2 linked regions of the Cricetulus griseus genome follow. The protein of the gene in region 2 interacts with the protein of the main gene of each other region in a pairwise test. Links are inferred from orthologs where the notes say so. Each region holds a gene or a part of one and is shown on either strand. Other genes may lie near its edges.

The links.
Region 1: the proteins of Trim23 (region 2) and Troap interact in binary tests that used the Homo sapiens proteins (3 or more experiments, as listed by UniProt). The two-hybrid records come from large-scale screens. The link is inferred for Cricetulus griseus from reciprocal best matches to the Homo sapiens genes TRIM23 and TROAP.

The regions. Positions count from the first base shown.
Region 1 is NC_048595.1:395,514,029-395,519,926, reverse strand, and holds part of Troap (tastin), read right to left. Parts: intron 5,211-5,898; coding exon 5,053-5,210; intron 4,971-5,052; coding exon 4,833-4,970; intron 4,484-4,832; coding exon 4,404-4,483; intron 4,063-4,403; coding exon 3,887-4,062; intron 3,534-3,886; coding exon 3,433-3,533; intron 1,707-3,432; coding exon 1,623-1,706; intron 1,472-1,622; coding exon 1,412-1,471; intron 1,005-1,411; coding exon 870-1,004; intron 725-869; coding exon 94-724; intron 1-93. UniProt on the Homo sapiens protein: Could be involved with bystin and trophinin in a cell adhesion molecule complex that mediates an initial attachment of the blastocyst to uterine epithelial cells at the time of the embryo implantation.
Region 2 is NC_048595.1:322,444,974-322,451,726, forward strand, and holds the start of Trim23 (E3 ubiquitin-protein ligase TRIM23), read left to right. Parts: upstream 1-2,769; 5' UTR 2,770-2,844; coding exon 2,845-2,925; intron 2,926-4,219; exon of another isoform or gene 4,220-4,540; coding exon of another isoform or gene 4,541-4,573; intron 4,574-5,200; exon of another isoform or gene 5,201-5,215; coding exon of another isoform or gene 5,216-5,251; intron 5,252-6,753. Other genes in the region: Trappc13 (trafficking protein particle complex subunit 13), read right to left, coding at 2,100-2,145.

The DNA of each region.
Region 1 (5,898 bases), about 73 Mb from region 2:
GGAAAGAAAGCATAGCATTGCCCAGTGCAAGGCAAGGCCTATTCCCAAGAAACAGAACTTTCTCTTCACACCCTCTCCCAGCCAATTCCTTACCTGACTGGCCTGCTGGGGACCTCAAAGGCTGGAGTGAGTGGATAGGGGGCCTGGCACAGAGTGAACTTTGTGAAGAGAAGGTCAAGCTGGTGGTTGCTGGAGGCCCCTGACTGCAACAGGGCTGTGGGCTAGACTCTGGATTGCTAGCTTCCAGAGAGTAGGCTGCTGATGGTCCCAGCTCTATCCTAGGGCAGGCCTCAAGGGAACCAGCCTGTCCTTGAGAACTGGGCAGAAGAGGCCCAGGCAGTGCTGGAAGACAAGGGTCTAGTTGCTCTGGCCCAGCTATCCAGCATGGCACTGGAGGCTGTGGTTCTGTGGTAGAGCTGGGTTGAACCACCTTAGTCTCCTTCCCAGTGCAGGCCTGTGGTTCCCCATGCTTTTCTGCAAGGTGGGGCTGTGGCTCCTCACACTCTTCTGCAAGGTACGGCTCTGTCACACCAGAGTGTTTTGACAGTCCAAGAAGGGAAGTTCCAGAATTGTGTTCTGGAGCACTCAGAGTTTTAGAAATGTCAGCCAGCAAGGGCTGAAGTTTAGTCATCTCTAGAGCAGAGCCTCCATTAAGAGGGGCACATTTGTCCACTGCCAGCCCCTCTATCTCCTGTTGCAGGAGTTGCTGCAGAAGACTGATGCGCTGTGGTGGGAGAGAGTATCCCAATGTGTCACCTGTCCACAAGGTCTCCCTACATTGTCATCTCCCCACACCTTTCCTCCCAGCTCCCCCTTCCCAGTCTTCTCAGGGTGCAGAAGCCATCAAAGAGCTGTCATTACAGGCCCACCTGCATCTTCAGCTCCTGGTGGTTGGGGGTTTTGCTGGGGTGAGGTCCAGAAGTACTTGCCACAGAGGGTTTCCCAGACCCCTTCTGCAGTGTGATACAACCCTCCTGGTCAAACAACCTTACAGCAATCTGCTCCTGCCACATAGAAGGAAAGGGGGTGGGTGAAGAAGCCAGACTAAGGTGGGAAGACTGTCTGCACCCTCTTGAGGAAAGGGTCAAAGCTCCCTGGTGGCTCTAAATATCAGGTATGATAACGCAGGCCTATAATAGAGCTGACATTAGCTCTCAAGAAGCTGAGGAAGGACAATCAAAAGTTTGAGACCCGGGTTGTTGAGATGTTCATACACACAAGAAATTTCTTCCAAGACTAGCAGAAGACAGAGAGACAGATATTCTAAACATGGGAAGGAAGGACAGATGGAGAGGCAAGAGGCAAGCAGATTCTTTAGACAGTACACCTACCTCAAACCAAAGGCTGCCAGCCCTCCAGGCCAGCGGGACAGCATCACAGACCTCAGTACAGGAAGGCTTTTGACACTTACCCAAGGCATGGCAGGCTCTTCAGGGGAGGAGTGAGGGGAGAGGCCACTCAGCCACTGGGTCTGCATCAGACAGGACAATCACCCATGGGTGAGACATCTGGTCCCCTCACCTGTCTTATCTCCTCCCCGACCCCTGTCCCCACACAGTACCTGCCCTCCTCCCTTCCTCCCTAGTCTTGACCCACACCAGTTGCCTCCTCTGCTCTCTTACTTGCTGAACTCTGGGTAATGATCGGAGGGGCGTGCATTGGGTTTTCGGCCGAATGGTGAGCTGTTTCAAGGATGAATATGAGGTCTAAGGAGAGACATGGGGAGTGAGCAGGGCTCTCTAAGCTCCTGCCCAGCCTAAGAGTTGTCGATACAAGCCGGGGGGCGTTGGTGGCGCACGCCTTTAATGCCAACACTCGGGAGGCAGAGGCAGGCGTATCTCTGTGAGTTTGAGACCAGCCTGGTCTACAAGAGCTAGTTCCAGGATAGGCTCCAAAGCCACAGAGAAATCCTGTCTTGAAACCCCCCCCCCAAAAAAAAAAAAAAAAAAAAAGAGTTGTCGATACAAACCACAGCTAAGAGGCCTGGGGAGGGAACATCTGAGCCTGTCTAAAGGTGATGGGTGGGTGACAAAGGGTGGCACTACATGGCCAGGCATGAGCCTGGAGAAGGCATGGGAGTCACCATTGACCCGTGGCGGAAAGGGGCAGGAAGAGGCCTTTCTGAATTCACCTTCCTATGTCTTGTTCTCCCCACAGCAGCAGCCACTCTTTGTTTTTTTGTTTTGTTTTTGTTTAAGATAGGGTTTCATGTGACCAAGAGGCCAGCTTGGAAATTCCGATCCTCCTGCCTTGACCTCCTAAGGCTGGGATTATACATATGTGCTACCATGTGCAGTGCTTGAAGATTCTTTTAAGAGAGAAATCAAGTATTGTTCTCTATTCTCACTTCCTCCCCTGGGCTTTCCATTCAGCTTAAGAAATAGCCAAGGACTTACACTGGCTAGTTCCTTACCTGCTCTCACCTTTGTCTCTATAAACTCGTCTTGAAGCTTCTTCCTCTTTTCTAGGCTTCAGACTCACTGGCCTATTTTGCTGGCTTAAAACACAAGGTGCACCCTCCCCTCAAGGCCTTTGTACCTGCAGCCCTCTTGGTTAAATGGCTTTGTGTGTGAGCTAAGTTACCAGTCCTAAATACGAATCTGTCCCCTCCATCTTTATTTTTAAAGACAGGGTCTTGCTGCATATCCCAGGTTATCCCGGAATTCACTGTGGAGCAGCCCAAGCTGTCCTCTAACTTGCAATTCTCCTGCCTCCAGAGAGCTGGGCTACAGTCATGTACCACCATGCCTGGCTCTAAGCTACCATTTATGACACCAATTCCCCCTCCAAGATCCTCTCAGTGCCTTAAGTATTTAATTTCAGAGAGGCTGCATTATCTCCTGACATTCTATATATATTTGTGTTTATTTTTATGCTTCCCTCTTCTAGAATATGCATATTCTGAATCTACAACCATGTCTGCATTCAAAGGCCAGTTAGTAAATACTTGAAGGAATTTATTTGTTGTTTTGTTTTTTTTTTTTGTTTTTCAAGACAGGGTTTCTCTGTATAGCTTTGGAGATTGTCCTGGAAATCATTCTGTAGACCAGGCTAGCCTTGGAGATCCTCCTGCCTCTTCTTCTCAAGTCCTGGGATTAAAGTCGGGTGCCACCACTGCCCAGCAGTAATTATTATTTTTGGTCGGTAAGCATTGTATGTGTCTAGGCTTAGCACTGATTTCATGGTGACACACATGCATGCCTGTCTGTCACCTTTCACCCCAGGCCCCAGATGCCTAACAAAGGGAATCAGATCCACTCTGAACAAGGCTTGGTCCCAACTCCAGCAAACCAAGACCTAATAACAACCTGAGTCCCAGGTCTGTCCAACTCTACCCATGACCCTGGATGCATCTGCTGAACACTCTACCCCCATTGGGAGTGGGGGTGAGGGTGGGGGTGGGGGTAGGCGTGGGGAGGTGTCTCATCTCACCCTGGTGTGCATTCTTTCTCCAGTTCCTCTTAATGGTACTCGTTGAGCCAGACCCAGAAGGGCTCTTCCTCTTTCATCTGAATGAGGGACAGCCTCATGTTCTGTGAGAGATAAAGAAGATGGGAGGAGATAGAACATTTGCTCTAGTATTTAGAACATCAAAGGCTACTCATTCAGCATTCTCTGACAGCCTAATAATATCTTAGTAAACACTGATCAAATGCCCCAAGTAGGCCAGAGGTGACCATGGCTCATAAGGGATTGGGATAGAACACAGTGGAAATTTAGTTTTGCAGGAAGTGGCAGGGAGAGGGCAGAAACACAGTTCAACCACGCCAACCTCTGCCCTATGTAGGAGGTCTTGTGCATGGTTGTGTGTTTCTGGGATGTGACTGCTAGGCAAGCACTCTACCACTAAGCTAGATCTCCAACTCTTCTGACCTAGTCTCCCTACCTCCCTGCTTCCTCACTCCGCTGTTGCTCAAGACCTGTTGGCCTTTTCCTTGTCTTGTTCCTGGTGCAGGCAGTTCACTCGCCCTGGCTTTTTTTTCCTTCTCCCATATCCAGACACACTCACCAGGCTGAACTGGGGTCTTCAGGAGCAATCTGGAGGCCTGGTTTGCTGAAGTCCTGTTGGCAGTAAGTACAGTAGCCATCCCTGAGTATCAAGCAAGGGCTGGGCATCTGCTAAGTGCTTTACAAATACCATCTCATTGCATTTTCACAATAGCCTCTAATGGTACAAATGTTATCCTAGAACTCAGATAGGTAGATAAGGGTCAGGAATTTGACTCAAAACCCATTTATTGTCAGTTTATGCCGTAGCCAAAAGAAACAGCATTTCACACATCGATCCCTCTGCTCCTTCATATTAAAGCCTGGCTAGGAAAGCCTGACCTGTTCCAGGGGCTCACCTCACATGTTTTGCATATCCCCTCATGGGTTGAAAAGGTATCTATAGCCTTCCTTACCTGCTATTGTCACACGTCTCTCTTCTTATCTCCTGTAAACTGGGGCGAGTGGTGGGATGAGAAGATCCTGAAGGTAGACTCTAATCCAGACCAAGACATGAAAGCAGAGTGAGAAATAGGCCCCAAACTAGACACAAACCCCAACCCACCTCTCCCAACAGAACCCGTTCTCGATTTTTTTTTTTTCCCTTCGAGACAGGGTTTCTCTGTGTAGCTTTGGAGCCTATCCTGGCACTTGCTCTGGAGACCAGGCTGGCCTCGAACTCACAGAGATCCTCCTGCCTCTGCCTACCGAGTGATGGGATTAAATTCTTGCACAGCACTGCTCAGAACCCATTTTCATCTAGGAGGTACTGTTCTAGGGCAGTACCTTTGTTCCAGGAAGAAGTTTCTAGAAAGACTAAGTGTCAGCTCCTCAAGGGTACTCACTAGAGTCTCTATCCTCTGTGGGAACAAAGTGTGGCCTCGGGATCCTGATCCCTCCAGTCTTGAGAAGCAGGAAGCCCTGGCTGGATCCAGTTGATGGATGGGAGTTCTGGGGGCCAGGTATGCGGAAGACCTAGCACCCTGAGATGCCAACAGAGGCTATCAGCAAGAGCTCAGAATTCCCCAAGTCCACCCCATCCTGACCTCACATCTTTCTCATTACCTTGCCCTTCTGGGTGGTGCCTCCCTTGCTCCCTCGAACTAGTACTCTCTGAGCCAGACTGGACTGGCGCCCCAGGGGACAGCTCTTCACCCCCTCACCTGACAGGATGGTGGCCAGGGCTGCAGGGTCAGCAACAAATTCTATAGCCCCTGAAGCCTCTGAAAGGAAAGGGATAGGATTAGAACGATAGGAATAGCAGAGGCTGAGGGGCAGAGGACTCTAGCAATAGTGAACAAAAGAAACATATCCAAGCCAGGCTTAGTGTACACACCTGTAATCTCAGATTTTAGTATACCAAGGCAGGAGAGCCAGGTGTTCAAGGCCAGCCTCCCCAGCATACAGGGCTAAAAGTCAGCCTTGAGAGATGGGGGAGAGTTGGGGGAACCTAGCTCATGTAAGAATTTCATGTAGGGGACTGGAGAGATGGCTCAGAGGTTAATAGCACCGACTGCTCTTCCGGAGGTCCTGAGTTCAATTCCCAGCAACCACATGGTGGCTCACAACCATCTGTTATGAGATCTGGTGCCCTCTGCTGGTGTGCAGATGTACATGGAAGCAGAATGTTGTATACATAAAAATTAAATAAAATCTTAAAAAAAGAAAAAGAATTTCATGTAAGCTATTACTCTTTGTCATACAGAAGATATCACTGAGGGCTGGAGACATGGCTTAGTGGTTACGAGTATGGGCAGCTCTTCCGGGAGGGTTCTATTTCTGGCACCCACATAGCAGTTCACAGCTGGCTATAACTTCAGCTCTAGGGTATCCAATGCTCTTTTCTGATCCCCATGGACACTGCATTCACACGGACTCACATAAAACAAAAATAAATCCTCTTTGTTTTGT
Region 2 (6,753 bases):
ATCCTCATTTACATTGTGAGTTTGAGGTCAACCTGGTACAGTTGTGACCCTGTCTCAAAAAGGAGACAAATGATGGTGAGAGGGAGAGATAATTGGAGAAAAAAAGAGAAAAAGATACTATTCTAACATTTTACACATAAGAAAGTTAAATGTCCATTTAAATTGGCATGCTTGAATAGTCAACATCAGTAAAATTAAACCCTGTGAAATTCTTGATTACCTAGGACAATGTGGGGAAAACAGTATCAAAGAGGTTTAATGTAAAGCTCTTGTCCTGTTTGTTTGATTAAGTATTATTTACTAGGCATCTTGTGTTTCTAAAAATGAAGAATAACAACACATAAAATTCCCCAGCATTGGAATTTTTAGTAAGGTCAAAGTTGTGTGACATCACACTTAGCAACTAATATAACTTTTAAACTTATATTGAAGTCATAAGGTAATGTTCTCTGAAAAAACTGTTTCATTTGATAGGAGGCAAACAGGGCATTTTAGAAATATGAGGCAGGCCTTGTTGAATTATTGCCTTGAACTCTTACTAGATATGTAAGTAGTAAGCTGCCAGACCGTAAAAGATAACTAATATCTAGTCCAAACACTAGATGTAAGACTGAGACAATGACCTTGCAGTGGTGGCTCATGCCTTTAATCCCAGCACTCAGGAGGCAGAAGCAGTCGGATTTCTGAGTTTGAGACCAGTCTAGTCTACAAGAGCTAGTTCCAAGACAGCCTCCAAAGCCACAGAGAAAACCTGTCTGTGTATATATATATATACCAAGTTCCTTTCATACACATATAATCTATTTTAGTCTGGATCATGTAGAAACCTACAGGTCTGTTTGTCTTATTACCCAGTGTTGCAACCTTGCTTAGTCCCACATTCAGAGACAGTCATGTTCACAGCATCTATCGATAGGTGATTATGAGCTTCTGGAATGTAAGATGTACAGATCACAAAGTGTTGGGGAGGACATGTAGTATAACAAAAAGGATGCCTTAAGGAAGGCCAGAGCAATGCAATCTAGCTCAAATGTCTTCTAAGCATTTCCTAGTGAAAGGCACAACCTCATAACTGTATATTCCAAAAGCAACCAAGTGCATTGTAGCAGTAGAAAACATAAAATAACTGAGCACTGGTAGCACACGCCTTTAATCCCAGCACTCAGGAAGCAGAGGCAGGTGGATCTCTGTGAGTTCAAGGCCAGCCTGGTCTACAAAGTGAGTTCCAGGAAAGCCAGGGCTGTTACACAGAGAAACCCGGTCTTGAAAAACCAAAACACCAAAAAACATAAAATAAAGCTGAAAATATTTTAAATAAAAGGTTTTGATAAGCAAAGTTAAGGAAAATCTGCCCTGCCAGCTTTCTTCTGGTTAAATTAAACCATTAAAAGTTATTCAAAACTGCTGTGTACAGAAAATTAAAGTGTAATGTGTAATATATTCAACAAATCTAAGAAGTATTGGGTGTATTACCATTTATTTTATAAATCCTTGGCATTAGCACGTGATATTACCTACAGCTAAGCGAAAGCCTGGTAACTTTGTGCCTGCTACATGAACGGATAAAAATGTAATAAAAAATTGCTCTAAACCGGGTGATGGCGCACACCTTTAATCCCAGCACTAGGGAGGCAGAGGCAGGTGGATCTCTGTGAGTTCGAGACCAGCCTGGTCTACAGAGCGAGTGCCAGGATAGGCTCCAAAGCTACACAGAGAATCAATGTCTCGAAAAACTAAAAAAAAAAAAAAAAAACAAACAAAAAAACAAAAAACAAAAAAACCCCACAAACCAACCAACCAACCAAACAAACAAAATAAATAACTTGCTTTAATAGCCAACTGAAATTTATTCTGGTTCACAGAGATCTCCCCAGCAGGATCAAGGCATGAGCTTCTGTGGATAAAATCTGGTGGCTGCGGTAGCACAGATCACAGAGGAATTTAGGATTGCATTTCATTCTAGAAGCCATCTCTCAGTATTTAGCAAGAGGGCGAGCCCTGCCGTGTTTAGGGATAAGGCTCACGTTGGAAATCTTTCAAATAGTGAGGGGAAGGGGGGCGGGGGAAGAGTAAAGAGACTTAGGCACGTAACAGTTTACCTTTTAGCGCCAGCAGGTGCTCCTGTTTCGGGGGATTCACTTCCATCTTGACATGCACTTCTGGTCTCAGGCTCAGGAGTTTCACCCTGGGTCGGGAAGGAAACTGCAAAGCACAAGTCCCGGAAGACGCGGCCTCAAACACACGCCCAACTTCTTTCGGCTCGTACTAACTTAACTTCTCTTTGCATTAAATTTGGTACGGCCCCAGTGAAAATCTTTTCACGAAGGCCATTCCTTCGCTCAGAATTAAACAGACTGACTTCAAGGAGGCACTTTCAGCTGACAATACACGGCCTCCCAAAGGCTTACACTCCGCGATGGGGCGCGTGGGGCGGGGGGAGGATACTCGAGTGGCATGCTGGGATTTGTAGTTTATTTTATTCAAATTAGAGGTGTCGGCGCTGGGATTAGCTGATTTCTTCACTCTGGCTCGTTTCAGTACTGGAGGAAAAATCATTACAGGATCGACACTTTCACTCTAAAATTTTATTTATGCTCCATCCATTCTTCTTGTTTTCTCCCTTCCCTCAGTTGCTCGCAGGCACCGTCATGAAAAACAAAGTGTCCACGCGCAGATCGTACAGCCAATGACTGACGGAAGGGAAAAGGCCGGAGGAGGCGGAGCGGCGCCCCGCCCGTACTGCGCATGCGTGCCTGCGGCGTGCGCTGAGGCTTCTGGGTAGGTCGCTCAACCCCTCCTCTCAATTAAAGGCTCTGCTGCTGCTGTGGCGCGGCTTCTTCCAGGATGGCTGCCCTAGCTGTAAACAAGCCCGGAGCCGGAGTAGACAGTGGGCGGCAGGGCAGCCGGGGGACGGCTGTGGTGAAGGTGAGGGAACTTGCGTGCTCTGTTCTTCACCTGCGGCCTCCCTTCGGTTCGTCCTGGAGACCTGGTCGCGACTCTGCGGCCCAGGCTTGGCCGGGCGGGATGCGCGGCCTCTGGAACCGGGTGGGCGTTTCAAGCCCTTCTTGCCCCGCCGCAGTCCTTGGCCTGCTGGTCTAAAGTTGCCTGGATCGGGCTGTTTGTGAAAAGCACCGCGTAGGCCTGTGGAGTTGACCTGGATTGGTGTTCCCCTGCTCTTCTGTTTCTAGTGAAGCCTCCACAGGCATTAGTTGGCGTAGATGTATTAAACAGCCTTTACGGTAGACAAGTACTGTGGTAAATGTTTCAGCTCGCCAGTATCCACTTAAAAGGGAGATGTTAATTAGCATTTTACATGGAATGAGCCCTAGGTTTAGTGAGGGCCCAGCGTTTACTGCTTGTAAAAGTCTGCTTTTCAACATTGCATTGCTGTTATAATCATATATGTACATTTTTCAGCCGCCCTTTGCCTCTGAACAGAGCGGTGTGAAAAGTCTCCAACTGCAGCATAGGCGGGGTTTAACACTAGAAGTATGGTGTACCTTCTGCTTGTAAGATTCTACCATATATTTATCAAATGCTTTTACTAGAGATCGAGGACATCAAGCTCATTTCCCCCACCCACTGTAACATAGATCTGAAAGGAGCGAGTGGTTTACAGTAACTTTGAAGATCTTCAGCAACCAAGAGATTTGTATTCTCATTCTGAGTGTGTTGACAACAGTATAGTTTTTAAATTCCCAGAACTGATGGTAAAGTACACTTGGATTGATAGCAGTGAACCAAGTACAGTTGGTCACTACTCGTTAAACGGTAGATACCTTTTCTTTTTTATAACAAAGGTCTTTTTTGAGGAATTTATGCTAATTATTATTAGTCCTTTTTAATTGGTTGTTGATATAGTTAACTTTTTTATATTGAGTTGAATTCAAATTACATTGAAGGTACAAAGATCTGAAACGTAGAAGAGCCCTCATTATTACTCATATTTTATGTTTGAGATTATTATTTTGAATTGTGCTTTTGCCAAATAGAGAATTCCTGCAGAATGTTCTGTGAATCTAAAGGGTTTTTTTTTGTAATTGGAAGTAGTAACGTGTCTTATATCCTCCTTAACACTTTCTTTCCACTTTACTCATATTCTGTGTATATACATAAGAAACTTTAATCTTTTTTTTTTTTTTTTGGTTTTTCGAGACAGGGTTTCTCTGTGTAGCTTTGGAGCCTATCCTGGAACTAGCCCTTGTAGACCAAGCTGGCCTCGAACTCAAAGAGATCCACCTGCCTCTGCCTCCGGAGTGCTGGGATTAAAGGCATGCACCACCAACGCCCGGCAGAAACTTTAACCTTTAATGGCCTGCAGTTATGGCATATGAGTGCACTATAATTTATCTTTCAGTTTAGTATCTATATGTACATTTACTTTGTTTTTAATTCTTTAATGATATAAATGATGCGTTAAAGAATAACACATTGATCTTGTTACATGTGGGCTGGGGATGTGACTTAGTAGTAGAACATTTGCCTGACATATGCAAAAAATCTGGGATCCCCAACAGTAGAGACAACAATATCAACAAGGATGAGAACGGTTGGATTTTGCCTCATGTGTGAGGTAATTTAGAATAAATTCCTTAAACTGCTAAATTGCTTCCATGGATGCTGTTGTTACTCAATAAACTTTTCATATCAGTGAAGTTGTTTTCCTACATTTCCTCCAACTGCTGCATTTTATTAATACAAAGCATTAATAACTTTTTGAAAAAGTATCTTGGTGTAGTTTTTCTTTGCACTTTAATGAGTTAGAGCGAATTCTTTTTTTTTTTTTTTTTTTTTTTTGGTTTTTCTAGACAGGGTTTCTCTGAGTAGCTTTGGAGCCTATCCTGGCACTCGCTCTGGAGACCAGGCTGGCCTCGAACTCACAGAGATCCACCTGCCTCTGCCTCCTGAGTACTGGGATTAAAGGCGTGTGCCACCAACGCCCGGCAGCGAATTCTTAATATAAAGTTTTCTTTATATAGCTTAATATAATTTATGATACTTAATTTGTCTCCTTTTTTTTCTGTGAACTATACTACGTTTAACTTTTTTTTAACTATACCAATATTCAAGGCTACTATGAATTACCAGTTTAATTGCAGTAAAAGATGCTTGTATCTCAATTTCTCTTATTTTTTTAAAGATTTATTTATTTGCTATGTATACATGTGTTTTGTCTGCATGTACATCTGCACACCAGAAGAGGGCATCAGATCCCATGGGACTACAGTTACAGGTGGTTGAGAGCCACCATGTGAGTACTGGGAATTGAACTCACGACCTCTAGAAGAGCAGCCAGTACTTTTAACCACTGCATCTCAATTTCTAGGTGTAAATGTATTAGAGAATCAAGTTTAAAATTGTAATGTGTCTGATGAGATTTCCACTCTTAATTTTTCTATTTTTAATTTTGTCTTGTGTGTGTTTGATGGTGGGCTGAATTGTTTTTGTTTTTAATTCTTATTTTGTTGGATTTTATTTACATAAGCACATAGGTACTTGCTATTTGGAGTGTACTGTTCTGTGTTCTTGTTCTAAGAAGGAGAGACATGCTAGCCAATGAAAGTATTGAAGTGTTTGAGTTGACAAGCAGATACGTATTCAGAGTACGTGGAAACCCAGAGGATAAGGTAGTTGTTGCAGCTGGAGTGAGGGATGGGTAGAACAAGAGCTAGGTACTTGGGAATTTTTTGATTTATGAAAATAAAAACCTTAAAAAGGAAGCCAGAAGGTAGATGTTTAGCAGTTTTCTCAGTATTAATTAGTATAAAGCAAGAGTCCTATCCAGCGACACACTTGGACCATAGGATTCTGTAGTGTGGCTTGATCGGGAGACAATGGAATAATTCATTGTGAATATTTTTAAAAAGTAATTAAAACTGAAAACAACACAAACAATAGTTAGTTGTAAAGGCACTGAAAATGGTATGCTATGATAGTTACAGTTTATGATTATTTATAAAATAATTAACCCATGGACCTGAGATTCAGAGTGAGTCAGTTCTCACAGCTTTTTTTTTTTTTGAGTGCCTTTTGGTACATATAGTATTTGGTATATATACCTGTGATTACAACTAGATAGTCAAATATTTTCCAAGCCAGAGTTACTTATTAATAAAGAATAGGAATTGAAATTTAATTTTCAGCTAATCTGGCTTTTGCCCTTACATTATTTTGTGAAGTTTAGAAGATAATTGAATATTCCTTGGAGACATTCTTACAAATTTTTTTATAGTTTAGAAAATTGAGTGTCATCCCAATACACATTTTAGATTTTTTTTTAAAGATTTTATTTATTTATTATGTATACAACATTCTGCTTCCATGTCTATCTGCACAGTATAAGAGGGCACCGGATCTCATAATGGATGGTTGTGAGCCACCATGTGGGTGCTGGGAATTGAACTCAGGACCTCTGGAAGAACAGTCAGTGCTCTTAACCACTGAGCCATCTCTCCAGCCCTAGATTTTTTTTTTTTTTTTAAAGTCAATGGTGTTTTAACTGGACATAATGATACATCCCATAATCTAGCATTTGGGAGGCAGAGGCAGGAGGATCACTGTATATTTGAGGCCAGCCTGGACTGAGGTCCATTCAGAGCTGCTCAGTGAAATGTCATCTAACAAGGAAATAAACCAGGGTTTAGAGAGATGACTAATCTGTTGAGAATACTGACTGCTGTTTCAGAGGATCTGGTTTGATTTTTCAGTACCCACATGGTGGCTCACAACCATCTGTTACTCTAGCTCCAGGGA